Linked DNA regions of Rhinolophus ferrumequinum. The protein of the gene in region 1 interacts with the protein of each later gene in a pairwise test. Links are inferred from orthologs where the notes say so. Each region holds a gene or a part of one and is shown on either strand. Other genes may lie near its edges.

The links.
Region 2: the proteins of PRR22 (region 1) and NELFA interact in a two-hybrid assay, tested with the Homo sapiens proteins (2 studies listed by BioGRID). The two-hybrid records come from large-scale screens. The link is inferred for Rhinolophus ferrumequinum from reciprocal best matches to the Homo sapiens genes PRR22 and NELFA.

What each region holds. Positions count from the first base shown.
Region 1 is NC_046301.1:58,340,439-58,356,248, forward strand, and holds PRR22 (proline-rich protein 22), read left to right. Parts: upstream 1-12,047; 5' UTR 12,048-12,318; coding exon 12,319-12,448; intron 12,449-12,551; coding exon 12,552-12,614; intron 12,615-12,931; coding exon 12,932-14,022; 3' UTR 14,023-14,023; downstream 14,024-15,810. Other genes in the region: DUS3L (tRNA-dihydrouridine(47) synthase [NAD(P)(+)]-like), read left to right, coding at 6,934-7,031, 7,705-7,984, 8,235-8,747, 9,096-9,137, 9,281-9,433, 9,681-9,797, 10,006-10,071, 10,141-10,251 and 5 more.
Region 2 is NC_046288.1:87,025,534-87,041,945, reverse strand, and holds the start of NELFA (negative elongation factor A), read right to left. Parts: upstream 6,152-16,412; 5' UTR 6,098-6,151; coding exon 5,888-6,097; intron 1-5,887. UniProt on the Homo sapiens protein: Essential component of the NELF complex, a complex that negatively regulates the elongation of transcription by RNA polymerase II.

The DNA.
Region 1 (15,810 bases):
CAGGGCCTCGGCAGTGGGTAGTATCACTCTCCAAGAGGCTCCCCCTAACTAGGCATCGGGCTGTTGATGTGGCCTTCAACCTTGCCCTGAGCTGGACCATGCTAAAAGCAAGGAGAGAGGCCTCAGCATGCTGACAGGGGACGCAGCTAGACACACACTCCCGACCGGGGTCAGAGCAAGGGTCTCAGGGGCCACAGGAGGAGCTGGCTGGCCTCAGCCGGGATGGGGCCCTCGAGGCTTGTAGGCGGCAGGAAGGAGCCAGATGGTTCCAGGCGAGGATGGGAAAAGCAGGACTGGCGGCTGTCCCTACAGGGCCATTTACAGCCACAGGTCACAGGTTGAGGGTCCTGTCCTTGGGGCTCTGGGTCAGGCTGGCCAGAGGGACCCAGGTGGGGGCTGGGCTTGGGGTTGTGCGGGCACCTGAGGGGGCCGGGGTGAGGAGCTTCCCCAGCTTGCAGAGGCACAGACCCCCCCACACACACAAAAGCCACAAATGTGTACACTGTCACACACACAGACATATGAAAGACACACAGACATACACCAAAGTCACTCATATTCAGCAGTGACAGAGGCAAATATGCATACACCATTACACACTCACAGACACACATACAAAAGCCACAGATATGTACACAGTCACACACACAGACATACAGTAGACACACAAAATCATAGATACATAAACACACTCACAGACACACATTCATACAGACACAGTTATATACAGACACCCCCCAAAGTCATTCATACTCAGCAGTCACAGCTATAAATGTGTATACACCATCACACACACACACACACACACACACACACACACACACACACACACAGCAGCCCTGCAGCACATCCACCCTGGCACCTGGCTCTCGTCACCCGCCCGCCCGCCTGCTCGCCCTGCCATCTCATGTCCTTGGCCCTGGGCTGCCCTAATCCCGATCTCGTGTCCTGAAGCCAGAAGATAAGGGGCAGCTGCAGCCCCAGATAAAGGAGGCACAGCCACAAATCCGGGGCGGCCCCGGCAGCAGTGGGCACTGAGCCCGGGCCACACCTGCCTTGTTGCTGCCAACCCCATCCCGCCTGGCTGAGAGGGACGGAGAGAGGGCATGGGGGAGATGGAGGAGAGGGTGAGGGGGAAGGGGGAATAGAGGGGGAGAGAGACAGAGAGATGCAGAGAGAGACACACTCACAGAGGAAGAGAAATGTGGAGAGAGATGAGACGCAGACATGGAGGGAAAGAGAAATGTAGAGAAACATACCGTGTTTCCCCGGAAATAAGACCTAGCTAAAAATCAGCTCTAATGCGTCTTTTGGAGCAAAAATTAATACAAGACCTGGTATATTATATTATATTATATTATATTATATTATATTATATTATATTATACCAGGTCTTATATTAAAATAAGACTGGGTCTCATATTAATTTTTGCTCCAAAAGACGCATTAGAGCTGATTGTCCGGCTAGGTCTTATTCTCAGGGAAACAGTATGAAAGAGACAGAGGAACACACAGAAAACAAAATACAGAAAGAGTACCCCCACACACACATTCTGGTACAGAAACAGGAAGAATAAAAGAGACAGGTAGAGAGAGAACTAGTGACTAAGTAGAGCGCCAGCTGCTCCTTCCCCAGGCCCTGCCCCACCCACACTTGGGTGCCTCAGTCATCCCATCTGCTCAGGGGCCCCAGTGCCACCTGTCACCTTCCTGCTTTGGAGAATGATTCAGGCCTGGTTCAGGGCGGTAGGACACCTTCCTCAATGTCCCCACGCTCTCCAGTGTGACCCCCGGGAAGGCTTCAGTCCCCTGCCACAGCCTCAATGAAGGTGGAACCCCTAGAGCAGTGCCCCCTCTGTGCCTCAGTTTCCCCAGCCATGATAAGATGTATTCACTCAGGAAGTGTTCATTGAGCACCCACTGTGTGCCAGGCCCTGTGTTGGGTGCCGAGGACACAGAGTGACCAAGGCAGACCCAATTCCCACCTCCCTGGGCTCACAGTTTAGTGGGGAAGACAAGTGTGTGGCTAGGCAGCTTCAGAATGATCAGGGTGGTGATGGGGGACCCTCAGGCAGCTGCAGAGCCTGTTGGGGGCATTGGACCCATCCCCAGCAAGGGGCCCTCAGAGAGGCTTCCAGAGGAAGAGGAGGTGAGAACTAAAGTGTGAGTGGAATGAGCAAGGTGACTGGGAATAAGGAATAGACTTTCTGGAAGAGGGAACAGCATATGCAAAGGCTAGGAGATAAGACTGTCTCATAGGAAGTCTGGAATGAACTTGGTGTTTGAGTTTAGGGAGTTGGGGGGTGATGAGGGACGAAGCTGGGGAAGACAGCAGGGGTTGGGTCATGCAGGAACTTGGGGACCATGGTCCAGGGCTGGGGCAGTAGGGAGCCATGGGAGCAGGGGAGAGCTATGGACAGATCTGTGTTTTAGAAGGAGCTGTGGGAGGCGGGGCTGTTGGGGGCAGAATGGGAGGAGTCCTGGAAGGCAGGATGACGAGAGAGGGGACTGCCTGGAGAGACTGGAGGGAGAGTAGGCAGCACGTGCAGACTGACAGGCTGCGGGGGGGATAGGCAGGAGGAGAGGCTGAGACCCTGCTCTCTGTTCAGGATGGTGTGGCAGTCCCTGGACAAGGGACCCCTGCGGCCTGTGGATTCAGGTGCAGGTGTGATGAATGCCTGTTCCCTCCATGCAAGTCAGAGAAAGAATACGCGAGTTAATGCATGGAAAGGGCTCGCTGGTACACAGTAAGCACTCAATAATGGCTCGACTACTGGTAAAAATTAATATTATACTGTTAAAATATAATAAATAATAAGCAATTAATATTGTTAATAATAGGGCCAGCCCAGTGGCTCAGGCAGTTAGAGCTCCATGCTCCTGACTCCAAAGGCTGCTGGTTTGATTCCCACATAGGCCAGTGGGCTCTCAACCACAAGGTTGCTGGTTCAACTCCTCGACTCCCGCAAAGGATGGTGGGCAGCACCCCCTGCAACTAAGATTGAACACGGCACCTTGAGCTGAGCTGCCGCTGAGCTCCCGGATGGCTCAGTTGGTTGGAACACGGGCTCTCAACCATAAGGTTGCCAGTTCGAGGCAGCCACCACAGCATGACTAAAGACACTCAGGAAAGAAGACTTCCAGAACTGCTTCAGAAAGTGGCAAGAAAGGCTGCGCCCCCTGCAACTAGCAACGGCAGCTGGACCTGGAGCTGAGCTGCGCTCTCCACAACCAAGATTGAAAGGACAACAACTTGACTTGGAAAAAAGTCCTGGAAGTACACACTGTTCCCCAATAAAGTCCTGTTCCCCTTCCCCAATAAAATCTTAAATATATATAGTCGTTAATGTTAATAGCACAGTTATCAAGGGTCAGTCCACATCTCCCCCTCCGACAGAAAGCCTTCCTGATTGCCTTACACAAAGAGCACAGGGCAGCGCCCCAGAGCCCTGGGAGAGCTCCCCTTGGAGGCTGAGGCCCAGAGACAGGAGGCCATATTCCTGAGGTCTCCCTCTGTGGGCCTGTTTCCCCACCTGTCCAACTGTCTCCCCAGACTGGTTGGGGTGCCTGTGGGATGACAGGGGGAGACTACTGGGACAACCTCAGGGGGCAATGGGATGGGCATCTCGGGAAGAAGAAGTGAGTTCCTGTCCCTGGAGGTGGGTTAAGGGGGGCTGGGCAAGAAGTTTCACAAGAACTGTAGCAGTTTCTTCCAGTTTTAGATTCCCGGATTCCACCATTTTATTCCCAGATTGTCCTACAGAGGGCAGCCGAAGCCAGAGACATGGAAGATAAACTGCTCTCCACCTCGCACCCCAACCCCGCCCACTGCCATTTTCTCCCAGGCCTTGGAAAAACTGGTTCTGAGCCTACTGTGGCCTCAGGCAAATCCTTTCCCTCCTTGGGCCTCAGTTTCCCCATCTGTTACATAAGGAGCACACTCCTCGCCTCATGTTCCTCCCCAGGGACAGCTTTGTCAAGGTTAGCAGTGATATGCAAGGACACCTAAGGGATTGGTTGCTCCCACTCAGCACCATGTTTATGTAAGTCAGGGCAAATAACAGTGATAAAGTAATAACGACACTAGTTGTTAACATTTATTGTTATTCATTAAATTCTTACCTTCCAAAAGGGATATATATTTTTTTTTTGAAAAAAATTTTTTAAAACTTTAATTTATTTTAACTGTGTTTTTCCAGGACCCATCAGCTCCAAGTCAAGTAGTTGTTTCAATCTAGTTGTGGGGGGCGCAGCTCACAGCGGCCCATGTGGGGATCGAACCAGCAACTTTGTTGTTAAGAGCACCACGCTCTAACCCACTGAGCTAACCGGCCGCCCCTACAAGAGATATTTTTATCAGCCGCATTTTTCTGATGAGGAGACCAAGGCAGAGAGAAGCGAAACGATATTCCCAGCTGTCAAGTGGAAGGACTGGGATTCAAACCTGACAGGCTGAGTCCAGAGCCCTGAAGTCCCCGTGCTGCATGAGGCCTCGTCCGGGAACAGAGAGCTTTAAGGGGGGCACAGCAGGGTATGGTGGGGACTGTCACAAATAGTGACTAGATTCATGGTGCATATCTCTCCCACCTCCCTCAGGGTAAAATCCCAAGTCCTCCTGGCAGCCCACAAGCCCCAGGATGACCTGCTCCCCATCTGCTTCCTGCCCCCTCCTCCCTTTCTCCTCCTCCCTCCCTCTGCTCCAGGCACATAGGGTCTCCTGTTTCTCCAACACACCAGTCATGATCTTTGTACTGGCTGTTCCCCCCACCTGGAACACTTTTGCCCCCTATATCCTTGTGGGGACAGAGCCAGGAGTGCAGTTTCCACTGGCTCATTTGGTTAGAGCGTGAGCTCTGAACAACAGGGTTCCTCTCGGCCTCATGCTAAAGGATGCTGGCTCAGGTAGTAAATGGCCATCAACTGTGATGGGATGGCCATCAGCTGTGGCTAGTTGGCCATCGGCTGTAACCAGTGAGCCATTGGCCACGAATATAACTGCTGTGGCTACGCTAGCAGAAAATGGGGGCTAGCAAGAAGATGGTGGCTGGCAAGCGCGGATTGTAGTTAGGACGGCGGGTTGTAGACAGTGTGGCTCCTGCTTCCTGTGTCTCCAACGCAGCCGCCAGCGAGACTATAGTGGTATGACTCCCCTACCTATGGCTCCATGGGTGTTCCTTTTTGGCCTCACCATGTTCTGCGTTCTTATGTGGGGAGCGATAGCTGAGACCCCGCCTGACACCCTGCATGACAATCCCTATGAGGTGTGATCAAATAATACAGTGAATGTTTACATAAAAAAAAGGTATTACAGTAAAAGATACATTGCCATCCCCCTCACTTTGAACACACTTATCCCATCTTTCTTGCCACTTTCTGAAGCAGTTCTGGAAGTCTTCTTTCCTGTGTCTTTAGTCATGCTGTGGTGGCTGCCTCGATGTCCTGAATCATTTTGACTTTGGGGAAGAGCCAGAAGTCACACGGGGCCAGATCCAGTGAATAAGGTGAATGAGAACACACCATAATGTTTTTTGTTTGTTTGTTTTTTATTGGGGAATATTGTTTCTCCAGGACCCATCAGCTTCAAGTCAAGTTGTTGTCCTTCAATCTAGTTGTGGAGGGCGCAGCTCACTGGCCCATGTGGGAATCAAACCGGCGACCTGGGTGTTATGAGCATTGCACTCTAACCAACTGAGCCAACCAGGTCGCCCCATAATGTTTTTATTTGACGGAAATTGCCTTACACCAGAAGTGATGTGGAGTGTTGAGATGATGGAGGATGATTTATGGCACTTTAAAACACACCTTCTCTCAACCATAGCTCACACCTGACTGACTGCAGCTAACAAGTTGAAACTTGTCACCCACTGCTACTAAGGTTCGATTCGCTGCTTCCCTGCCTTTCCTTTGGATGGCACTCGGCAGCAGCATTCACTGTATTTTGTGATCAACCGAAAGGCTCCGTGTCACACATTGCTTCTAGTATGGCAATTTCTGTCAAATAAAAACATTATGGGGCGGCCGGATGGCTCAGTTGGTTAGAGCGTGAGCTCTGAACAACAGAGTTGCTGGTTCAATTCCCACGTGGGCCAGTGAGCTGCGCCATCCACAACTAGGTTGAAAACGACTTGAGTTGGAGCTGATGGGTCCTGGAAAAACACTGTTCCCCAATATTCCCAAATAAAAATTAAAGAAAAGAAAGTGGCAAGAACGATGGGATGTTTTCAAAGCGAGTGGGAATATTTTGAGGGGGCTAATGGCAATGTGTCTTTTACTGTAACAATTTTTTAATTTAAACATTCACCATATTCTTTGATCATACCTCGTATGCTTCTCAAATGTCACTTTCTCAGCGAAGCTTTCCCTGACCATTCTCTCAAATTGCAACCAACCAAGTGGCATTCCCACTTCCCCTTCGTTGCTTCATTACAATTCAACAACATACGGTACCATTTACTTAGGTAGTATGTTCACTGCCCGCCTTCCGCTCTCCTATGCAAGCTCTCAAGGGCACGGATTTTTCGTTTGTTTTATTCATTGCTGCATCCCTGGCATCTAGGGCTGCGTCTACCACACAGGAGCTCAACAAATTATTTGTTGAATGAATGCGCCGCATAAATGTAGTGGAATTAAAAAAAAAGAAACCCAGCAGGAAAACAAAACACGTCTGTGGGCCGATTGGGATCCGCGGGAAAACAGTTCGCGAACGCCTGGATAATCATTGAACGTTTCCGGCTTCCCAGTAGAGGGATCAGTAGTAAACGGAACCCGACTCCCCACCCCCACGCAGGCTCCGCCCTCGTTACGTCGACGCTCGTACATGGCGTCACTTGGAGGGACCCGGCCATGCGCACTTTCCTAGCACGAGCCGGTAAGACACACACGCGACCCGGAAGGCCTTCCCGCCACAGTCCCAAGCGGGCGTGAGAGTGGCCGATGGCAGAGGGTGCGGCGGAGGCCTCAGGAGAGAATGGTGGCGGTGGCGACTCAGGAGCCGGCACGCTGGAACGGGGAGTGGCGCCCATTAAATCTCGGTGAGTCGCAGGGACAGTTGGAGAACCGCACGGGGAACTCGTGGCGTGGCTCGAGCGGTGCATGCCGGGAGATGGGGCAGTCTACGGACGGGAATCTCGCAGTTTCTTCAATCTGGGCCATGTCTCAGCGGCGGTACCTGAGATAACGCATGTTGGGGGCTGCCACATGCAAAAGCGCATGCTAGCGTGGGCGAGGCTTCAGACGAGGGCCACAGTGCATGCTGGGGTCTGTAGTCCCCGTGTATGGCGGGAATAGTGCATATTGAACTCCAAGCAGCCAGTTACACAGGCTGGGACTTGTGTCTTAAGCGAGTACCGCGATGCAGGCTGGGACTTGTAGGGCTGAAAGGCATGCTGGGAAATGTGGTACCTGTGTTCTTCACTGTAAGGCATGCTGGGTCGTGTAGTTTTTTTTAGCCTAATGTGGCCAAAGGTATTCATACCTGATAACCTGTAATTTGGCTCAACATTCAGCAGGGACAAAATATGTCCTGTCTGTGGCCTTGAGGTGCTCCCAGGCTGGCACCTGGCCAGTTCTAAGTAGTGAGTTCCGTATCAGCGGAAGCACATAAGCAGAGAAAAGTGTTCTTAGTCCTTTTCCCCAGAGTTCACTGAGTCTTGAGCTCAGTGGAGCTCAGACAAGCCTACCTTTCCCTCCCTTCCCTGCGGGCAGATACCTTACCACCAAGGAGCAGTTCCACGAATTCCTGGAAGCCAGAGGGCAGGAAAAGTCCAGCCGGAAAACCAAGGCAGGAGACCTTGGTGGCCATGACCCTGCTGGGTCTGAGGCCAAGCGGATCCGCCTGGAGGATGGAGACGGGCAGACGGAGGAGGCAGCTGAGTACAGGGAGGAGCCTCAGGCTCAGAAGAGAGCCCGGGGCCAGAACAAGGGCCGGCCCCACCTGAAGCCCAACCACTATGACAAGAACAGGCTCTGCCCCTCCCTGGTCCAGGTGAGTGTCACTGTCACAAGCAAGTCCCAGAGGTCTTCAGTCTGTGCCTCTCTGTCCCCTATTCAATCCTCATGATGTTATGATATAAATATCGTTATCATTCTGATCTTCCAGATGAAGAAACCGAGGCACAGTGAGGTTACTGACTTGCTCACGGACACACAACCAGGAAGGGAGGGATCTGAGGTTCAAAGCCTGACCACCCCAGCCTCTCCCTGTCTTCCGTCACTGCGTCCCTGTTTCCTTGCAGGAATCGGCTGCTAAGTGCTTTTTTGGTGATCGCTGCCGCTTCCTGCATGACGTGGGCCTCTACCTGGAGACCAAGCCAGCTGACCTGGGTCCCTGCTGTGTACTATTCGAGACTTACGGCAGGTGCCCATATGGTGTGACCTGTCGCTTTGCTGGGGCTCATCTGGGGCCCGAGGGCCAGAATCTGGTACAAAAGGAGGTGGTCCCGGCCCCGCCTATCCGCAACAGTCTGGACAAGGCCCTCCAGCAGCAGCTGCGAAAGCGCAAGATCCACTTTGAGCGTGCAGAGCAGGCCCTGCACCAGCTAGGAAAGGGCCACCAGCCAGGCTCCACCCCACCTGCCACTGTCCCCGAGGTCATGGGGGCTGAGGGTACGCCAGGACAGGACAACTGTGATGCCCAGCAGGCCCCCCGGGGGCCCGGCGCCGGCACCCCTCCCAGCATCCCTGAGCAAACCTGCGGGCCCCTGACCGATGAGGACATAGTCAGGCTGCGACCCTGTGAGAAGAGGCGGGTATGTGTCACAGGCTTCCTGTTGACACTAGTAGTGTGGGGGGCAGAAGGAGCTGGACACACTCCTAGCCGCAGAGTCAGGACTGGGGCAGAGGAAGGCAGTGGGAAAGGCTTCCTGGAAGAAGCGTTAGAACTGGGGTTTTGATAGTTGACTAGAAGTTCTCTAATAGAGACCATGGAGAAAAGAACATTTCTCATAGAGGGTTGGTTGACATGTGCAGAGGCCCAGATGTAAAAAGGTGGTAGGCTGGTGGGGCAGGGCAAAACGTTCTATAATGTGGTGAGAAGGGAAGCCCCGAAAGTCAGATTGAAGGGTAGAGCTTCACTGTTGCGTGTTCCTTCTCTCCAGCTTGACATCGGTGGCAAACTGTACCTGGCGCCCCTCACCACGGTAGGACCCACGTGGGGTGGGCTGGGTGGTGGCAGTGTGGTCACCCCAACAGTGCCCAGTGCGTGCTGGTCTTGGGGTTGGGGCAGATGTCTGGGGTCCCTGCCTGTCCCACCCTCAAGTGTGTGTGTCCCCGCTGTTCCTAGTGTGGGAACCTGCCCTTCCGGCGGATCTGTAAACGCTTTGGGGCCGATGTGACGTGTGGGGAGATGGCCGTCTGCACCAACCTGCTGCAGGGCCAGACATCCGAGTGGGCCCTGCTCAAACGCCACCCGTGTGAGGATATCTTTGGTGTCCAGGTTGGTGCTGCCCAGAGGGAGGGAGGAAGAGGGAAGAGGGGCTTCTGCTGCCAAGATTCGGAGCAAGGTTCGGGGTCCTGTCTCTTGGCTCCCAGGGCTGGCTCAGTCTCCTCCCAGGCCCCTCTCACCTCAGCCATGGGCCGGGGCACCAGCCTGATGCACTTCCAAGGGCTGCTGGCCTTGGCATGGGGCCAGGCATGGCGGTCAGCACTGGCCCTCACCCCCCCCACCCCGCCACCTGCCACAGCTGGAGGGCGCCTTCCCCGACACCATGACCAAGTGTGCCGAGCTGCTGAACCGCACCATAGAGGTGGATTTTGTGGATATCAATGTTGGCTGCCCCATCGACCTCGTGTACAAGAAGGTAGCAGCCACTTGGCTCCAGACCCCAGAGTGGGCAAGGTGTGGGTGGGGTGGAGGCCTGGGACCCGGCCTTGCTCCTGCCCGAGTCACTGCGGACCTACGGGGCCCTCTGTGCCGCAGTTTCCCCACGTATACAGCAAGGGCAGCTAGGGGTGTCGGGCCCAGGCTGGGTCCTACCTTTCCTCGCTCCAGCTGCCTGTCTCTCCCAGGGCGGGGGCTGTGCCCTCATGAACCGCTCGGCCAAGTTCCAGCAGATTGTCCGCTGCATGAACCAGGTACGCCCCACGATGGCCCCACCTTCCCTGCCTGACCTTGGGCCGCGCTGACCACAACCATTCCTGCAGGTGCTGGATGTGCCCCTGACTGTAAAGATCCGCACAGGCGTCCAGGAGCGTGTGAACCTGGCACACCAGCTGCTGCCCAAGCTTCGGGACTGGGGGGCAGCCCTGGTCACGGTGGGTCTCGGGGCACAGCGGGTGTTGGGACTTCGGGGGCACTTCGGCGACCCTTTCTAATGGGCTATGTCTACCCCTCCTCCCCATCCATGTTGGCCCTTCCTCCATCTCTCCCTCCTGTCGTCTGTCTCTCTGTCTGTCTCTGTCTGTCTCAGCCTGGGTCTCTCTGGGTCTCTCTCTCTCTCTCTGTCTGATGCTCCCCCTCCCCGGACCTGCCTGCCCTCCCCATGTGGCCACATTTCCAGCTCCACGGTCGCTCTCGAGAGCAGCGCTACACCAAGCTGGCCGACTGGCAGTACATCGAGCAGTGTGTGACGGCGGCCAGCCCTATGCCCCTGTTTGGTGGGTCCCCTGCCACTCAGCTCAGACCTGCCTGCCAGCCCTGCCATCAAAGTCCATGCACACCTGGGCCCACCTCCCATCTGGCACCCCTCCCTGCCCCCGTGGGGAGCACTGGGCTGGCAGAACTCCCCAAGCTGCCTGCATGCAGCTCCCTGAGGCCCCATCTCTGTCCCTCAGGAAATGGGGACATCTTGTCATATGAGGACACTAACCGTGCCCTGCAGACTGGTGTCGCTGGGGTCATGATTGCCCGGTGAGTGTGCCCGGTGCCTGGGGGGCTACAGAGAACTGTCTGGAGCTGCCCCTGAGCGTGTAGCCTGCAGCTCAGGGAGGGTGAGGTGTGTCTGAGCTTTCTCACTTTTGTCATGCTACCCCCCAGCCCAGCTGCCTCACCTCCTGGTCCATTTGTCCCCAGTGGGTGGCTTTGTCAGGAAGGGATACACGGAGATGGCAGGGGCCAGGAGGACTGGAAATTTCTACAGCTGTGGGATTGGAGTTGGGGGTTGGAGCTCTGGCTTCAAAGGTTGTACGAACACAGCTGGAGAGTCTGGGACTATGGATTTGGGGGCCGCTGACCGCCCCTGCCCCACAGCGGCGCCCTGCTCAAGCCGTGGCTTTTCACGGAGATCAAGGAGCAGCGACACTGGGACATCTCGTCCTCTGAGCGCCTGGACATCCTGCGGGACTTCACCCACTACGGCCTGGAGCACTGGGGCTCGGACACGCAGGGTGTGGAGAAGACCCGCCGCTTCCTCCTCGAATGGCTCTCCTTCCTGTGCAGGTGGGCACGGGGTGACTGGTGTGGGGGTGTTGGTGGCAGGCCAGCCTGGCCCAACACTGTCCCCCACCTGCCCACAGGTATGTGCCGGTGGGCCTGCTGGAACGGCTGCCACAGAGGATCAACGAGCGGCCCCCCTACTACCTGGGCCGAGACTACCTGGAGACGCTCATGGCCAGCCAGAAGGCCTCCGACTGGATCCGCATCAGGTACCGGGAACCGAGGCACTGGGGGCGGGGGCGTCCTGCGCAGGGTGGCCCGGGACTCAGGCCTGACTCTGCCCCCCGCCCCCCTCCTCACAGTGAGATGCTGCTGGGACCTGTGCCGCCCAATTTCGTCTTCCTGCCAAAACACAAGGCCAATGCATACAAGTAGCTTTGGGGGTAGGAGGGGTGTCGGAGGGGCTCCCTAGTGCTTGAGAAGACAATAAATTTTATTCTTTTTAAAATCCAGGCCTGTGACTCTGAGGTTGCCCCTTCCTACTCCTGGGACCTTTCCCTGGACACCCTGTCCCTCACAGCTCCCTTCCTCCCTCCTGATTCAGTCACTCCCAAGGTCCTAGCCCCATGCTGACCGCTGCTGGTACCCAGATAGGCCTTGACCACAAAGAAGCCACCAGGGCTCTTGAGGGACGTGTTCCTCAGCCTGCGTGGGTGTGGTTCAGGGCAGGCTGCCTGGAGGAAGAGGCCTCAGAGCAGCAGATTAGGCCCAGGGTCCACCCCACCCTTTGTGACATGTGTCTTTGGCTGCCTTGGTTTCCCATTCTATCTCTGCCCACTCCCCACCCCCGGAACCCTGACCAGTGGGTGGGCTACGGGCTGGAATCTGCCACCCGGAGTAACCAGGCAAACAGAACTCTGGGACTCTGAGCCTGTTCTCCAGGTGAACTGCCTGTGCTCCCATCTGCCACCCTCCTGGCCTGCCTGGGCTGGGCCCCCCACCTCCCCATGCAGCACCCCAAACCCTTCTACGCTCCTACAGTTTCCCAAGAAGGCTTCAGTCCCCGGGGCCTGGATGGCACCGAGGGGCTGGTCAGCCAACCCACTCCCACCTGCATGGAGCCTCTTCCCACTGTGGGTATGAGTCGGGGAGCAGTGGTTGGGGGCACCTGATGGGATGGGGACCAGGGCTCTGCCCACCAGCCTCAGGACCCCACCTACCCACCTGCCTTTGTTCACAGGTTCCTCCAACCTGTACCACCCCCCAAACCCAGAGAAAGAGGTGTTTCCAGCCCCTCCGGCAGGTACCAGCCTCTGCCCAACCCTTGACGAGGCCCTGGGAGTTGGTTGGAGCGGGCAGGGCCGTCTTGCCTCCACCCCATCCCTCGACAGCCCCCTAAAAGCAGGGCTTGTGTCTCTGTCAACCCAAAGGGGCCTGTGTCCCCCATCCAGACAAGGCCTGTGCTCTTGTCTCCCACACAGGTCCCCCAAAAAAAGGCCTGTGTCCCTGGGCTCCCATGGTTTGGCTGTGTCCCCACCACCACCATGTCCCACGTTGCCTCCCCCAGGCAGGCGGGTCCTAGCCATGCCCCTCTCAGGGCTGCCCCTCCCCGGCCCACAGGTTTCCAGATGGCACCCTGCGGCTGCTTCTTTGACCCCCGCATTTACCGAATTGAGTGGGCTACCACCGACTTCGGCCAGTCGTCCCTGTATAAGCTGGCAGCAGTGGGCGGCGGGGGGACAGCAGGGAGCCCCGCCTTGGCAGGCACCTACCTGCTAGAGCCCCAGCACTACCTCAAGGCCTCGGTGCCACCCCCACTGCCCCCACCGTACCCCCACTTCCAGCCAGCACCTGGGGGCCCCCAGTACCTCATGCCCTTCTTCCCGCCCGAGGGGCCCGGGCCTGAGGCCCTGGGCTTCGTGGGGGATGGGGGGGCCCCCACCTTCATGGAGCTGCCCCCACCCCTGCTCAAGGAAAGCCTGGTGCCCCCTCCACCACTGCTGCCCCCCAAGGAGAACAAGCTGCCCCCTCTACACGTTACGTTGCCCACTGAGGCTGCGCTGCCCCCTGGCACCTATGGCCACCTCAAGGGCCGCCTGAGCCAGTTCCACGGGCCCGGGGAGCCCCTGGCCTTCCCTACCAAGGAGCTGCAGGGCGGTGGCACTGGGCCGGGCCCCGTGGAGCCCAAGGCTGCTGAGGCGGAGACAGCCCCACTGGGGGCGGGCCAGGCCAGACACCCCGAGGCAGCGAGGACCTTCATGTTGCCTGAGAAGGTGCTGCTAGAGGACGCCATGAAGCTGTTCGACTGCCTGCCGGGGGTCACCGAGCCTGAGGGGTCCCCGTGCAAGGCCCTGGGGCCAGCCCTACCCAATAACCGTGGCGACGGGGACGACTCCTCCGGCGACATCCGCTCGCTGTGCCTGCCGGATGAGCTGCTGTCCTTCGACTACAGCGTGCCCGAGATCCTGGACACTGTGTCCCACGTGGACTCCCTTTTCAACTTCAAGGCGCTGGATGAGGAGCTGCCGCCCCGCCCAGGGCCCCCCGCCGCCACCACCACAGCCCCTCGGGCTGAGCCCGAGAGAAAGAGAAAGGCCGGTGCCTCAGCCACCAAGAAGGGGAGGCAGGGAGGCAAGAGCAGGCAGGCCTCGGGCCTGGCCAGCGCCACCCCTTCGGGACCCAGGCAGGACCTGGAAGCCACCCCCCATTAAAGCGGATTTGACTTCAGCTCATTGTCCACTCGGTGCATTGGGGGGCAGTGGGCTGGGGACACTCACCCCATTGTCCAGTTGGCCTAGGGCCATGAGGGGAGGCCCCTCAGGACCGCAGGCCCCCAGTGCTTCCTGGCTGCCAGGCTTCCAGTCTGAGGCTGGATCCCTCCACTCGGGATTCTGGATCCCTCCACTCGGGATTCTAAATCCCACGTGTCCTAGCTCTGGAAAATCAGTCGGCCAGCAAGGGAGGGGCTTTTGGAAAGTGGGGAGACACCACCCAGACTCCAGCACTGGAAGGATTTCCTCAATATTTGGGGAGGAAAGTCAAGGCTGCCCAGAGACGGCAGGAACTTGCCTGGAGACACAGCAAGCAGGGTGGGCCCTGGGAGTGGCCCCCACCTCCACGTCTCCAGTCCAAACCACCACTGGCTGAGGGAGGGGGAGGCCTGTGAGGGGCCTGTGGCCTGGGCTCTGCCTCAGCCACTGCCCCCTAGTGGAGGGGTTGGGGTGGCGCTTGGCAGGGAGGGGTTGCCATGGTGAATAGGAAAGACTCCTATTCAGGCAGACCTGGGGGCTGTGGGGGCAGGTGCTGGATGGAGGTGGAGGCACCTGATGGCCTGAGGGTGGGGACTGGCCAGGGAGGTGGAAGGCAGTGCCCACCTGGCACACAGGTGACCTGAAACAGGCCCACCTGTAATGGGGGTGTGCAGAGTGCACCAAGTGAGGGCATCCAGCTGGGCCCCGAGTGCCAGTTCTCTCCGTTGGGCCCCGTGCAGGAGTTCTGCATTCAGGTGGCAGGCACAGGACAGCCCCCAGTGTGGGTGTCCGTTATTGCTCACACCTGCTGCTTCCTGCCCTGGCTCCTCCCCTTCAGGCCCACACAGCTCCTCTTCCCAGGGGTCGTGTCTGGTCCAGCCTCTCTTCAACATTTCTGGAGGGAGGGCCCCGGGGGCAGCTGCTGGCTATGGCCTACCCTGAAATGCTCAAGGTGACTGAAGGGGCAACTTGGTTTCCCAGGTAACATGTAAGGAATCAGGAATCAAAAAGAGATGGAAGGAGGCCTCCCCGCCTCTCCCGCTGCAGGGGAGGAAGGGGCCCTCCTGCCCCAGGCCCTGGGCTGGGTTGGGGATGGGTGGGCTTGACTAGAATTTGGAGGTGGTTGGACGAGGGGAGGACAGGGTTGGGAACTAAAACCTGGTGCCTCCCATGTGCCCAGCACCAAAGCCACAAGCCTATGGTGCCACCGGCCTACGTGGCTTATCTCCCTGAACGCTTATTTCAAAACGCAGGGGAGTGGAGACGCGTGTGCTGTCCAGGCAGTGGTCTCTCCATCCCAGGCATCGCTTACATTTGTCCCCACCCATCTCTGTTCTGAACCACACGGGCCTGGAGAAGCCTGGAGCCCATTTCCCTAGGCTTCCCTCTCAGCCCCTCTCCCTGAAGTAGCATTGGGGTATTTTGAGGTGAAAATCAAGTGTCCCCGACGAAGGGAAGGCCCTGGCAAAGGAGGGGGAGGACCCAGGAGGATGAGCTCATTTTTTTGAAGATGAATGCAGACGAGGGTCAGGAAGCCAGTGTTACCTAACAACCTAAGAGACTGGAGGGTGGGTGGGGCCCAGCCAGCTCAGCCCTGATGGGTGGGGCAACTGGTCACCGCACTGTACTTGGGGGTAGAAGTTTCAACGACTGGATTGAGACTGCACTGGACAATTTTAAATGATGGCAGGGTATATATTTTTTTAACCTAAGAGTAATCAGGAAAGTCGTGGGACCCCACCCCAAGTT
Region 2 (16,412 bases), on another chromosome or scaffold:
TACAAAAACTGACCACATACTATGCCATTAAGCAAATTTTAAATTTCGAATGACAAGTTATTAGACTACATTCTCTGACAAATACTCAATATACTAGAAATCACTAATAAAAACTAAAACCTCTCCCCCCTTTGATGTATAGAAATTAAAAACATTTTTAAATTACACAAGCATTGTCAGTGAAGAAATCATCACAGAAATTAGAAAATACTGTGACTTGATAATAAAAACACTATCAAAACTTGTAAGATGAAACTAAAGCTGTGATATAAGAAAATTTATGGCTTTATATGTATATTTTAGAAAAGCTGAAAAACAGAGGTCAGCATCCATCTTAAGAGATTAGAAAACAATAACAAAATAAATACAAAGAAAGCAGAAGAAAATAAAGTGCACAAATTAGTTAAACAGAAAACAGAGTATCAATAAAGCCAAAAATTGGTACTTCAAAAAAGCTTATAAAATTGACAAACATCTGGTGAGATGGATCAAAGAAAAAAAAAGGAACATCGCTGTACATGCTTCTGATGTTAAAAAGATATTAACTATTTTATGCTAACAAATTTGAAGTTTTAGTAGAATGGTCAACTCCTTGGGAAAATACAACATCAAACCTTTACTTAACATAAAAACAAAACTCAATACTCAAAACTCTTCCCACAAAAAAAATCCAGGTCCCCCAGATGGCTCTATTACTAAGCTCTACCAAACATTTAGGAAGAAATAATTCCATTAGTAAACAAACTTTACAAAGAAGAGGAATATAGAGGATACGCTGTAACTCCTTTAATAACAGTAGTGTAACTTTAATACCAAAAATCAGACAGTCTGGGAAAGTAAAATTAGAGGCTAATCTCATCCATGAACAAAAACACAAAATTCCTGCACAAAATATCAGAACAAAATAATCCAATATAAAATGACCAAGTTAGGAATGCAAGGTTGGTTTACGATTAATCCTGTCTGTTAATGTGGTGAGTTACACATCAACAGATACTTTAAACATCTGATTAAAAATTCATTCATGTTCACACCATACACACACACACACACACACATACACACAAACATTTGGTAGAACTTAGTAATAAAGCCATCCGGGGGACCTGGATTTTCTTTGTGGGAAGATTTTTGAGTACTGATTTTTGGTTTTATGTTAAGATTTGATGTTATATTTTTCTAGGGAGTTGGCCATTCTACTAAAACTTCAAATTTATTACCATATATATATATATATACACACACATACACACACACACACACACACACAGTGTCAAAACAATGTATACACATTTTAAGAAAGGAAAAAACTGTATTAAAAATGTAATACAGAGCGGCCGGTGGCTCAGGTGGTTGGAGCGCTGTGCTCATAACATCAAGGTTGCTGGTTTGATTCCCACATGGGCCATTGTGAGCTGCGCCCTCCACAACTAGACTGAAAATAACGGCTTGACTTGGAGCTGAGCCACCATGAGCAGTGGCTGACTGGCTCAGCTGGTTAGAGCGCAGTGCTCATAATAGCAAGGTCACCAGTTCAATTCCCACATGGGTCAATGGGCAGTGTCCTCCACAACTAGACTGAGAACAGCTTGACTCAGAGTTGGGGGGGGGGAAGAAGTAATACAATGAATAACGCTAGCATTTATTTGATTAACTCTGTCTGAGTGAACGTCATACTACACATTGCTACATAATTCAATTCAACTTCAAAAAGTAATACATAGATAACAGCTCTTATAATGTGTGTACATTTTTCTGGCACCCGTGATATATATACATGTATATGTATATACATGTGCATACATGTGTGTATATATGTCTGTGTGTGTGTATATATGTACATATATTTACACACACACATATATATATATAAAGCAAGGGTTGGCAAGGATGTGAGAACTTAGAACACTCAAAAATCACTGGTGTAAAATGTAAAAATGGTGCAGCCACTGCAGAAAACAGTGTGGAAGTTCCTCAAAACGTTAACCATAGTTACCACATGACGCTTCTAGGTATATACCTGAGAATTGAAAACATATGTCCACACTGAAAATATAAAACATATGTCCATAAAAACTTGTCATGAATTTCCACAGCAGCATTATTCGTAATACTAGACAAAAACTTGAAACAACCCAAATGTCCATCAGCTGATGAGTAATTGATGAATAAAATGTGGTCTATCAATATAGTGGAACTTCATTCTGTCTTAAAAAAGGAATGAAATATTGACGTTACTAATCTAGATAAACCTTGAAAATATTATGCTAAGTGAAAGGAGCCAGCCAGTCACAAAAGACCACATATTATATGATTCCTTGTAGGGTTTCCAGGTGGGAATTCCCACCGTTCTCAGGAAATTTTTTTGCTTTCTTATTCCTGAATCCCGAGAAAAGTTGGTTGGGAAATCGCAAAAATCGGCTCCTTGAACCCAGTAATACCCACAATGGGAAATAAAGGTACTATGCACAATGTATCTCTTAAACATTTTCCCTATTTATCGCTAGGGTTTCCGGGAGGGAATTCCCACCCATTCTCGGGAATTTTTTTCGCTTTTCCATTCCCGAATCCTGATAAAATTTGGTGGGGAAATCGGGAAAATAGGCTCCTTGAACCTAGGTGGTTGGTAGTATCAGCTATCACTTTGTGGAGACGATTCATCGTGGAGAACAGAAAACAGTTTATATCTCAGGATTTGGGAACGGGAAAGTGGAAAAAAATCCTGAGAACGGGCGGGAATTCCCACCTAGAAACCCTAATTCCATTGACATGAAATGTCCAAAAGAGGCAAACCCACAGACACCGAAAGTAGATTAGTGGTTGCCTAGGCTGGAAGGTGTGTGTGGGGGAGAAGCCTGCTAACAGGTAACAGAGTTTATTTTGGGGTTGGTGAAAAATGTTCTAAAATTGACTAAGATGACAGCTGCACAACTCTGAATATATTAAAAACCAATTCAACTGTACATACTGAATGGGTGAATTCTGTGATGTGTGAGTTGTCTCAATAGAACTGTTACAAAAAACTCATTCATGATTAAAATAGTTTTTTTTTTTAATCTAGGAACAGAAGGGAATTTCCTTAACCAGTAAAAAATATCTGCCAAAAATAATAGGAAACATACTTATTGGCAAATATTCAAAGTTCTTCCAGTGTTGCTGTCACACAGCAACCTAGCCGACTGTCGCCCCATGTCTTTCCTTGAGGAAAGACGGGTCTGTGAGACTGTGCCTTTCTGGGACTTTGTTTTATCTTGATGTTTTACACCTCATGTCTCTCTGTCTGGTCCCCAAAAGATGGTTTGCAGCCAATGATGAGTAAGATTCCCCATGGGGGGGCAACTTAAGCCAAGCAGAACCATGTGGGGACCCCCAATGAGCTAGCTGCCTTGGAAGATCTGGGAAGGGGCCTTGCTTGCCTCCCCTTCCCGCTGCCTAGAAAAAGCCACTGCTGACTCCGGCTTTCCCCTCTCACCTGATTGTGAGAGCGATACAATCAGCTCTCCCCTCTAACCCTACAATTAAGTGTCAGCATGAGAGACCTGTCCCTAAGGAGGACATACCACCATTGTTAAGACACCATGGGACTTTCTGTTTCGGCTGTTTACAGGCAAGCGTGATTGGTTTGAATCATTTTTCTGGTATGATGTATGAGATTCACAGACTGTGGAAAAGACAATGCTACTTCCTTGTATGATAATCAATAAAAGCCACCAGTCAGCTCGATTCTGGGCTCCAGTCTTTCAGAACTGTGAGACCCCTGGCCTTCTGAGATTTAACTGCATTAAGTCTCTGTTTCTTTCTTCCTTAAAACTTAACCCAACGCCACCCCTTCTCGTCCCCTTACAGCCTGTGTTGCGCTGGACGCGACAGTGTGGCCAGAAACAATGTACTGGAGTGTCCTGGTGAATGCAATAAGGCAAATGAATGAATGAATGAATGAATGAATGAATGAATGAATAGCAATTGGAAAGAGAAATAAAATAAGAGTTAAGTGCACAGAAAAATGAAGATTCTACAGGAACATTATTGCAATTAGTAAGACTAGCACAGATGCTATTCACAAACTCATCTAAAAATAAAATTTTAACGGATATTTATATCAGCACGAGAAAACATGAAATATCTAACAGAAACTGGAAGGCGTCTGCTGAGAAAATCATGCAGCTTTACAACAAATATTAACATTAAAGACGATCTAGGAGCTTGTAATGCGGGAGCGGTGTTCTCTGGCAGCCAAGTCCGGCAGGGGCAAAGCCAAAGCAGGGCCTGGGGCTGCTCGGAGCACGAGGAGCCTGCTGGGCCTGGTCCCTCCTCTCTCAGGAGCACACCCCTGCCAAGGTCAAGACTGTTCACGTATTTTTGAAATAACAAGAACCCAACTGTTTCTGGATGCTCACGGAGGTGTCCAAGAGAGGACTCAATCCGGAGCAGCAGTGACCAGGTTGTCTCCACGCTAAAACAAACGAAACGCAAACCCAAATATTAAAGATGTAAGTTGAGATATGCCTATATTAATAATTCATGAGAGTCAATATTATTAAGACGATTTAACCCCAGAATGAACTATAAATGCAACTCAGTCTTAATCAAACCCCAAGTTGTACGTGGGCGTACGTGTAACCTGAGAAGTGAAGGTAACACACACGGAAGTGCAAAGGGCCAAGAAGAGCCACAGACCCTGAAGAATAAAGTGGGCGGGTCTGCGCCGTTAGCTATCAAGACTTACTGAGCTAGAAAGTGGCACAAAGAGGCTTAGTGTCATTAATACGTAGCCTACAGGAACAGAGGAGAGCCCAGAAACAAACCCACAGCCTAAGTGACAGCGCAGATCAGCAGGCTGCCCCTGGGGCCAGGTGGGCAAGGCTTCCGAGGCGCCTGCGTGCGCTTTGGGTGGCTTTGCGGGACCCCCGCCTGAACTGAACAAACTGGCACTTGTGCGTGCGTTCGCGCTCACAATAAAACAGGCACAAACCTAACATGCAATCGTAAGGGACCGAACAGGAGTGGGGGAAACGTCCAACAACTACGGGGTTCACTGCACGAAGAACCCGCAACACGCCGTTCCCGGACAGGCAGTGTCACCCGCATCAGGATGCTGCAGAAACGGGCGTGCGGCGAAGCCCGGGAGTACCGAGGGACCTAAGTGTGTGGCCACTCTGTGGGCTAAAAATAACAACACGCGGTCCACAGTCACTGGAAAGTTCTCCGCAGGCCATCGCGGCCAGCTCTGCCCTCTGCGCGGCTTTCAGGGACCCAGGGAAACCCGGACAGACTCGCACCCCCACATCAGGGCACTAACCTCCGCGCCCTCCCGCAAACACGCACAGGCACGCACCGCCACCGGCGCTAACAGGTGGTGCCCTAACAGGTGCCCGATGGCGGCTCGGGGTTCGCATCCATCCCCGCTGCCCTGCTCCCCAAACTCCCCTGCAGGCCGAAGGGCTCCGCTTTTCCTCACCCAGAATAAGGGGGCCTGTGAGGGTGACGGTCGGGGGAGGGGCAATGAGGGTGGGGGAAGGGGTGTGCCGTGAGGGGAGCCGCTGGAAAGTTCTACCGGGAGCGCGGAAAACCCAGTGCGGCCTGAGAAGGGGGGCTGTGAGGGTGGGGGGCGTGAAAGTGGGGGGCTGTGAGGGTGGGGGGGCTGAGGGTGGGGGGCGTGAAAGTGGGAGGCTAAGGGTGGGGTGTGTGAAAGTGGGGGGGCTAAAGGTGGGGGGCGTGAAAATGGGGGGCTGTGAGAGTGGGGGGGCTGAGGGGGACTGTGAGGGTCGGGGGAGGGGGTGCTGTGACAGGGGGGCTGGGGGGACAGTAAGGGCCGGGGTCTCGGGTCTAAGGAGCACGGCCGCGAGGTGGAAGGCAGGCCCTGCGCCCCCAACGCCGCCCGCCTCACCTCGTCCACCGTGCGGCGCGGGAGGTGCAGCGTCCCAAGCAACAGCTTGAGCTTTACGGCCGACGAGAGGCTGTGGAAGCAGAGGCGGATGTTGTCGATGACCGCGGCCGTGAGCAGGGACGCGATGCTGGGCGGCGCCCACAGCTCGTCTGTGGCCCCCAGCTTGTTGTGCAGCCACAGGCCCGTGTCGCTCTCCCGCATGGACGCCATCTTGGGGGGGGAAAGCCGGGCGCCGCCGCCGTGCCGGCATCTTATGAAGACACCTACGCGCCCATGGCGAGGACCCCCAACATGGCGGCGCCCGCCCGAGCAGGCTGCGGTGACGTCACAGGCGGGGCGGGGCCTCGGCGAGACGCTTCGTGGTGACGCCCGCGAAGGCCTGCCGGCCGCCCTTGAGTAACATGGCGGCGCCCACGACCGGCTCTCTGAAACAGCCGCGGAGGGTGACGTCAAGAGAGACGGAGATGTCGCGCCGGTGTGGCGTGTGGGCGCGGCGGCTCTGGGCCGAGGCTCTCGACTGTTCCCGCCATGGATCCCAGGGCTTGAGCAGCGCGGGCATCCGGCTCAGGCCTCCCCACGCCTCCCGAGGGAGGGGTCCAGGTCAGACAGACATTTAGGAGCGCCTTTGTCAAAGAGAGCCAGGTCCAGCTTTCATTCATTCCTTCAGCAGTCCAGACGGGCTGAGCACCTACTGTGTGCCTGGCACTATGCTGCGCTCATGAAAGGGACGGAGAATTTCCCTGGGAGTTTATTTGAGCCAAATCTGAGGGCCGGCTAGAAGCAAAATCTCAAAGGACTGAGAAAATGCTCACGGAAGAGCAATTTTGCAGTTCTTTGTATGCATTTAGAATGGAAGGAGAGAAGGTAGGCACGTGGAATCCACAGGTGGCAGGTTAGGAGGCGGAGAAAGCCAGGCGGGCAGTTTCTGGGACTGGATAAAAAGTAAGACGGAGAGACACCGCTTTACACGGGTGGGTGCAGGGCAATTAACACTAAACATTTTGTACAGAGCATGACTTAGGGACACAAAACGGAATCTAGTCATTCTGATAGCTATGTCAGTCACAGAGTGACCGTCATGCCAGGGCGTCACGTGAAAACGTGGAGTGTGACCACCTGGACGATGCTTCCTGGGACTGCAGGAGGGGGCACCGCCCCCCGTCTCGAGCATAAAAGATCAGAGCTCACTGACGGCTCCTCGCTCAGGCCTCAGCCGACCAGCTGACAGCAGCACCTGCACTCGTCCCAGAGGCGGCGCTTGAAGCCTCGCCTCCTGACCGTGTCACCAGCCCACCTGCCGCCCGACACTCCGCAGCCCAGCACCGGAGGACTCTCGCTGGACACCGGACTCTCTCATCCTTCTTTCCTAGACTCTGTTCGCCTCGCCTCACCCTGTTACTTGCAAACCCGTGTGACCCTCCTGTGTGAAACCGCCCTCCCTCGCTATTGGAGGCTGTCCCCGACCAGAGCCTCGGTTAACGCCCGTGGGAAACCAAGTCAGCAGGGCTAGATCCACGCTTTATTCTAATAAAGTCTGACGTTGTGGAAAGACACCAACGTGTGTGAAACGGCTACCGTCACAGCCACGTCCCACTCACGACACATTTACAGCACAGACAGATGGTATGCGGGGGGCAAGGTAACAGGACTGCCGTGCTCTTGCTCTGGTGCCAGCAGTTGTGCCTCTGAGGTGTCTGTAAAAGAGAATTACTCTGACATTTCAAAGGTACGTTATCCTTGATGAGCCCAAGGTAAAGACCAACCTTTGCTAAGGAAGCTGTAGTCCTGGCACGTGACTACCCACTATGACCTGCCCAGTTAGGGATTTATGATCTGACCGTGTATGGTTACTGTTGGTCACTGAGCTTGTCAGGCCTGCCACGTAGCCTGTTGTACGTTCACATCTGGGTGCTGGGGGTACAATAGTGAGACCCAGACCTTTGCCTTCGTGGGTCCCGTGACCCAGGGGAGTGGGCAGTCTACAGAGGTGAAGGTGGTGTGGACAGAAGAGCTGGGCAGGTGTACAGGGAGTGATGGGAGTGCAGTTTTATGCAAATTATGTCTAAAAGGACTGGGGCAAGCTTTCTCAAGCCTGGCCAGTCTCTCTGGTCCCTAGTACCCCTGTGATTGCCATTTGCCAGGCAGCTGTCCCAAGAAAGGGCAAGTGGCTATGCCTGCAGCTGCTCCACGTCCTCAGGGTCAGCTGCAGGTGGCCTTCCAGGTCTGACATCTGCACCTGCCAGGTTTGGGCCTGCGTTTTCCAGATGCCCAAAGGGGGATCAGTGGTCAGGTACCTTTTGAAAGGGAATCAGCCCTGCCTTGGGGGCAATGGGGTGCTTACCACCCGCAGCCCTGAGTTAGTCTTGTGCATAATCAGTGAAGGCACAAAATCAGGGCTTTAACCAAAAGCTGAGTGCCCCTCCGTCTGGAGGGGGGCCCTGTCCTGCCCTGGCCAGCCCCTTCCCACCAGGCCAGCTTCTTCACCTGCCTCCAGTGGTCTCTGTCACAGGGCTCACAGGCGCCGGTGGGCCTCTAGTGGGCCAGGACAACAAACTGGAGGGACTCCCTAGTGCGGTCACAAACTGAGATGAGTGGGGACTTGTTTACCGTGGCACAGCCAGGGCCACATCTCTGAGGAGGTGACACTGCAGCTCAGGGTGAGAGAGGCTGCAGGCAGTGAGTGGCCTGCACACGGAGCACCTCGGGCTCAGGAGGTCTCCCCACCACATCCCTTCCCTGCGCCCCTCCCCTATCACAACCTGGACCTCACCTCCCGAAACAATGCTTGTGCCCACATTTTCCGTCTGACCTCCCCCTGCCCTTCTTGCCCATAGGCTCTAGCCTTCTACTTCATCGAGAACATTTGGGGAACGGGGTTGGGGGCACCTACTGCCTTGCCCTTCTTTCTGTACCTGGGCCGTGGAGAGATCAGCAGTTAGACCCCTCAGACCAGGGTCCTCATTGGTTGGGATGAGGCCCACCTCTGGTTTTATTTCATTGGAGTCTATTTTTCTTCCTTCCACCATCAGTCCCAAAGCTCTCCTGTCCTCAGACATCTCACCCCTACTCTAGTGTGTTTGGAATATGTCTTTGACAAACGTAAAGAGTTCTTATGTGTGTTTGTGTCTTCAGTGGACAGAGATGGGATTGTACCGAGTCTCGTGTCCACCACATTTTCGTCTCCATTCCCCTAGGATTAAACCTTCACATCGCGTCCACTTGCCCACCTTACAGACAATCTATGATGAGGACGCTTGTACGAGTCCCCCAAGGACTATGGGTAAGGGTTTGGGAGGTACAGGCCCAGAGAGGGGTATTGGCCAAATGGCACCCCTGTAATGTCATAGAGGGCTGCCAAGGGGGGCTGCACGTCCCCTCCCAGTTGTGTGCTAGAGCCAGCTTGTACAGGCTTGCAAGAACTATTGTTAATTTTCAGGAATTTTCTAAGCCTGTCATTCAAAACAGCCATTATCAAAAATTAAACTTTATTGTATTCATTTTATTTCTTTACCTTTTACAAGGCATTTTACTTCATCTCACTCTTGCCCATACTCTAGATGTTATTTACGTCCAGTGTAACTGAACGGGGGAAATGCTGTACATTTTGTTATAACGCTGATGAGAAAAAAATGCATCCGCAGCCTGGGCCACGGTCTCTGTGGAGTGTGCACCTTCTCCCCTCATCTTCTCTGGTCCTCCCGTTTCCTCCCGCGTCCCAAAGATGTGCTCATGAGGTGAATGGTGTGTCTACATTGTCCCAGTGTGAGCAAGTGGGCGTGGGTGCACCATGTGATGGCAGGGCCTCCTGTCCGGGGCGGGACCCCCCTTGTGCCCTGAGCTGCCGGGACAGACTCTGGCCACCTGTGACCCTGAACTGGAATAAGCGGGTTGGAAAATCACGACCTTCCTTGTTTTTATTAATTGTTCTTAAATGTATGTGGAGCTCACATTTACTTCAGTGTTTAATATTAGAAGTGTTTTGGGTGTTTATTTGGAAGTTTGGCGATGTGTTTGTGACTAGAAATATGCCGTAGGAACTTAGCTCTGGTTTATACAAATTAGCCGAGGGTAAAACTGGTTTCCTTATACGTCGTTTCGCTTCAAGTCGCAGTTTCCAAGAACCTACCGATGATGTTAGGTGAGGACTGCCGGTAGCCCAGCTGGAGTGCTGCCCAACTCCTCCCAACTCTATGTTCACTGAGGTTGCACGGGCAGCTCGGACTCAGCCATGGTGGGCGTGTTTACACCCCGGGAACGGGCAAGAGCTACACATCAGGGCAGGACTGACTGGTTGATTGTCCAGGCTTAAGAAAGTGATGGAGAAAATGCTAACAATGAAGAAAGCATGTTGTGTCTGTTGTCATTACATTGTGAAGAGCTCACACACACACACACACACTTGAAGCAATGTTTCTTCCAGTATTCAAGCACTATTACCTGATTCAGCAAAAGAAGTCCCTCATGGCACTGACTAACAGGTAAGGTTCTGGAGTAAGTGATGCTAAAGCTAAAAGAAGTTTAAGTTAAATAACTAAGTTTTTGAGGTGGAGAAATAGTTTTGCAGGTGATTAAACATCAAATTTAGTGACAATGCACTTACCGGGGAAGAGCCGATTGGAATAAAACCCCGTATATCAAACAACGCTTGAACTGTAACCATTGCTTGACTGAGATGAAAATCTTTGTTAACTGGATGCAAATGTTCATAGCAGCTTTATTCATATTCATAATGGCCAAAAATTTGAAACAATCCAAATTGCGTTGACCCCATTTGTGGCTTTCTGTGGAATATTCAGTGCTTGGTGTATATGTCCTCAGTCTCATGTCCTTGAAATCAATTGTGAGTCATCAGGAAGAATTCTGCTTAACCACTGGGTTAACAAAGAGAAGACAGACCACTAGAAGGAGGCATTTGCAATATCAAAAACCATCAAAAAGCACCAGTGGATTAACATTTAGAATGTAAAAAGAAATGCCTGTAAATTGGTGAGAAAAAGACAGGCAATCCAATAGAGAACTGGGCAAACGATAAGAAAAGGCAGTTAATAGGAGGGGAACCAGATCCCTGAGACTTAACAAAGAGATGCTTAACTTATCACTAAAACCTGAAAAATCCAAATTAAAATAACATGATGCCTCATTACATCTATTTATTACATTGCGAAATTAGAAAGTCAAAATTTTTGTTTTTAGATATGGATATCTAATTGTCCCAACACTATTTGTTGAAAAGACTGTTCTTTCTCAAATGAACTGCCTTTGAACCTTTGTTAAAAATCTGTTGTCCATGTATGTATGGGTCTATTTCTGGACTGTTTTCTATCCTGATTTATTTTCACTATCTAGCTGTACACTAATACCACACTGTCTTGGTTACTGTAGCTTTATAATAAGTCTTGAAGTCAGGTAGTGTTAGTTCTCCAACTTTGTTCTTTTGCAAAGTTATTTTGGCTATTTTTGGTCTTTCACATTTCTATATACATTGTAGAATCACTTGTCAATTTCTAGAAAAAAAATTTTGGGCACAGAGTTGTTCACAGTGTCCTTTATTATCCTTTTTAATGTCCATGGGATCTGTAGTGATGTCCCATGTTTTATTTTTGATGTTAGTAATTCGGGTCCTCTCCTTTTTTAAAAATTGAGATATAATTGACAAACACCAATATATTAGTTTCGGGTGTACATAAAAATTAGTAGAAACCTCACCTGAAATGAAGTAGGGAGACCAGAAGAGGGAGCTCTCACTCCCCAGATCGCACTCTGTTGTGTTATAATAACCCTCCCAACTTCCTCTTCCTGGCTGTAGAAGTTTCCTTCGTTTTCAGTGATTGCTTGTGGCCCACCAACCATGGTTGCGTGTTCCAGATTACAATTCTTCGTTGTTTCCAAATAAATCCATTCTGCTGGAGAAATATCTGGCTGAATTTTTGTTTAAGGTCAACATACACAATAATAATGATTGGATATTTATATATATTGTCCTTTATTTTTTTTCTAGTTTACCTGGCTAGAGACTTCTTGATTTTATTGCTCTTTTCAAAGAACCAGCTTTTGATTTCATTGCTTTTTCTCTATTGATTTTCTCTTTTCAGTGTCATCAATTTCTGCTCTAAATTTTTATTTCTTCTGCTTACTTTGGATTTAATTTGCTCTTGTTTTTCCAATACACTACAGTAGAAGCTTAGGTTATTGATTATAGGTCTTTCTTTTTTTTAATATATGCATTAAATACTACAAATCCCCTCTAAGCACTGACTTTGCTGCATCCCACAAATTTTAATGATTCATTTTCATTTTGTTCAAAATATTTTAAAATTTCTCTTGTGATTTCTTCTTTGACCCATGAGTTATTTAGAAGTATGTTTAATCTCCAGATATTTTGGAATTTCTCAGCTACCTTTTTGTTACTGATTTCTAGTTTAATTCCGTGTGTCTGAGAGCAGACACTATGTTTCTATCATTTTCAACGTGTTAAGGAGTGTTATGGCCGAGAGTGTGGTCTGTTGAGGTGAATGTGCCACGTGAGCTTGAGAAGAACGCGTGTTCTGCTGTTGCTGGAGGGCGTGGTCTTTGATGTCCACTCTATCCAGTTGGATGATGGTTGAGTTCAACCATGTCCTTACTGATTTTTCGTCTGCTAGACCTGTCCAGTCTGACAGAGGACCCTGAGTCTCCAGCTATAACAGTAGGCTCTTCTGTTTCTCTATTATTCTTGCCTTAAAATGTATCTTATCTGAAATTAACCTAGTGATGCCAGTCTTGTTTTTATGAGTATTGACATAGTCTAACTTTTATCTATTCTTTTACTTTCAGAGCTATTCTTTTACTTTCAGCCTTTCTATATCTTTACAAATTAGTTGTGTCTTGTAAACAGCAGAGAGTTGTGTTGGTTTTGCTTTTTTTTTAAGGTGACAATCTTTGTTAACTGTAATATTTTGTCCATTTTCATTGAATAAAAATCATTGGCATGTACTCTCCTTTTGTATCTTCTTTTGATTTTTTTTTTAAATTTAATTGGGGAATATTGGGGAACAGTGTGTTTCTCCAGGGCCCATCGGCTCCAAGTCGTTGTCCTTCAATGTAGTTGTGGAGGGCGCAGCTCAGCTCCAAGTCCAGTTGCCATTTTCAATCTTTAGTTGCAGGGAGTGCGGCCCACCATCCCCTGTGGGAATTGAACCAGCAACCTTGTTGTTGAGAGCTCACGCTCTAACCAACTGAGCCATCCGGCCGCCCCTTTTGATTATTCTTCATCACTCATTTTATTACACACACATTAAAAGTTATTTACTCTGAGTTTTTTTTTAGGTTGGTGCAAATTAATTGTGGTATTTTTAACCTTTTAAACTGCAATTACTTTTGCACCAACCTAATACCATGTTTTCCCGAAAATAAGACCTAACCGGAAAATAAGCCCTAGCATGTTTTTCAGGATGACATCCCCTGAACATAAGGCCCTTATGTGTCTTTTGGAGCACAACTTAACATAAGACCAGGTCTTATTTTCAAGGAAACACGGTAGTAGTTTTGTTAGAAATCACAATGGGTCTACTTAGCTTATTACAGTGTAAAAATGAATAATACCAGCTTCCATTTATGATCATATGGTCTACCACTTTAAACATCAAAAAAACTGGACACAATGCACCAAGTGGAAAATAAATCACAAGCAGCCAGCAAAAAATAAATAATTAAAATTAAAAAACTGGACTCAATGTGAAACAGTGCTTTTCAGGCAGGAGATAACACGCAGTGCACGGCAGTGATCGCAGAAGGAGAACGTCCAGGTGAGTTCTACTTGAGCCCAGCCTCTCTCTGGAGGAATGTTCTAGGCTGCAGGATACAGCTGGCCAGTATCCTGACTTGAGGAGACAGAGCAGACTTTGGGGAGCCCCAGCTGACTAGGACTTTTAGGGCAGAGTACCGGGGAGAGCGTTGCATAGGGAAAGCAGAAGCTCTGGGTTCTACGGTGTGCCCCCTGCATGGTCTGCGGGGTGCTGGGCCGCTGGGGGGGTTGCCTACCTCGGGAAAGAGCCCCTGGAAGGGTAAGGCTGGACAGTGCTCACTCAGAGCACATGTGGCCAGAAATCGGTGTTGTCCCCACCAGCCACAGAGCACTGAGTCCTCAGAAAGCTCTTGCCTCAGTAGTGGGTTCAGTCGCCTAAAGACTGTTCTGAGCTCACTAACAAAACTTGATGACCCAAAAAGATCAGATTATTTCCAAGTAGCTTGACTGCATTCCAGAACAAAGCTCAGACATATATCCAGGAACGAAAATCTCCAGGACATTGTAAAATTGACAATATCTGGCATCCAAGAAAAATTACCCTAAATGCAAAGAAGCAGGAAAACACAACTCATAATGGGAGGAAATGGTTCTGTCAGCACTGAAAGGCTGGGCTGACTTCTGGTCTCCCTGCTTCACGCGAGGTGTGTCTGTCTGACCAGGCTCAGAACCAAGTCCCATTTGGGGCCACAAAGCCTAGGTTCCCACTTCACTCCCCGCCCTGTTCAGCTGTCAAAGCCTCAGCTGAATCAACTCGACATGACAGATACCAAATTCTGCCCGTTGGACCCATGCCTCCCAGTCTCCCCCAGGCCAAGCTTGATGCCACCTTTGCCTCCTTTCTTCCACACCCTCTGTCCACTGGCAATGCCCCTGGGCTCCACCTCCCCACCTCAGTGCCCCCTTCTGGGAAGGCGGGTGCAGGGGTGAGGGGAGGGTTAGTGCAGGGGGCAGGTGAGGGCATCCTGACTGCTGAGAGTCGGGGTGGTGGGCCTGGGGACGCATCTGCTCTGGGAGGAGAAGGTCCCTCAAACACTGTCCCTGGCAGATACCAAGGCAGGTGTGAGGCACCTGACCCAGCGCCTTCACGGTCCCTGAGAGCAGCATTCCGATGCCCCTGGGCCCACCTCAGTCCCAGAGTGGGGCGGCCAAGAGCGTGTGGAGGGGTTAGGGCTCCAGGTGTCGGGGTGTAGGGCATCAGAGGGGTCCACTTCCCAAGCTTCCTGGCATCACTGACAGGCCATATTTACGCTGACAACTCTCACACTTCAATGTTCAGCCCCTCGCGGGCTCTGAGCCCAGGCCTAGAGCGTCCACATCGCCAATGCGCAATTTCTGACCTGAACACCAGCCCACCTGCATTCTCCCTGCACCCACCCCTTCACTCCCTCATCTCCGAAGGCCCCCTACCTGCCCCCCACCCCTGCAGCCAGCCCAGCCCACATATCCAGTTACCCAGAAAGCACTCTGTTTCTCCCACCGTCAGCCTCCACCTCCCCTTGGTGGCAGTGGCCTCCCCATGTGCCCTTTGTCCTATCTTATCCCACCCAGGCCCGGGCTGTGCGGTGGCACCTCTCTGCCTGTGTGAGCAGGTCTCACACTTCCTGAGCATTTTCTGTGAGTTTCCTGTGAGTTTCCAGGTGCTACAGACACATCAGGGAGCAAAAGTGACAGGCTCGTGCCCTCCAGGCCTGGCAACAGGATAGAGCCCAGGCTTTTCAGCGGCAGCTCCACCCACAGTTTGGGCCGGGTCACCCTGGTGGGGGTGGCCTGCACCTGCAGTCTGCCTCGCAGCACCCTTGACCTCTACCCAGTTGATTCAGTGGCACCTTCCCTTCAGCCAGTCGTGAGCCCACAAAATGTCTCCAGACAGCGCCACATATCCCTGAGGGCAAAAATGCCCCCCAGGAACTCTGGAGACAAGGAAAAATCAACACATGGGGTGAACTGTAGAGTGAGTCAGTGGGTGAGAAGTGTAAGAAAATGAAAACTGTAGATCAGAGGAAGGGGAGCTGGAGAGGATGGGGTGGTACTTTGTGTTGAAGGTCCGTGTCCCCCCAAACTCATTTGCTGAGGCTGTAACCCCCAGTGTGGCTGTAATTGGAGATGGGGCTTCTAAGGAGGAAGTTAAGGTTAAAGGAGGTCGTGGGGGTGGGGCCCCAACCCCACAGGATTAGTGTCCTTCTTCTAAGAGACACCAGAGAGTTGTCTTCCTCTCTTCCACCCTTTCCTCTCCCCTCCCCCTTCTCTACTCCCCTACACACACACACAGACACACACAGACACACACACACACACACACACACACACACACACACGAAAGGCCACGTGAGGACCAGTGAGAAGACAGCTGTCTGCAAACCAGGAAGCGAGTCCTGACCAGACACCAAATTGGCTGGAACTGTGAGCTCGGACTCCCAGCCTCCAGAACAGTGAGAAAAGAAATGTCTGTTGTTTAAGCCTCGTCAGTGGGGTTTTTAAAGCGGCCCACATGGACCAAGACAGATGGAGTGGGTGGGCCACTTTCAGCTTTCCCGGAGAAGGAAAGGAGAGAGGGAAGGAGGGAGGGAAGGAGGGGAAGCTCCAGGTTCTCTGCAGGAACTGGAAGCCCAGCTCAGGGAAGGCCCTGGAGCAGGAGCAGCCTGTCCCTGGCCTGGCAAGAAGGCGTGGCTTGGGCAGGGAAGGGGTGGGATGGGAGGCTGCCAGACAGAAGGCCTCCCAGCCTCGTCAGGACTTAGATTG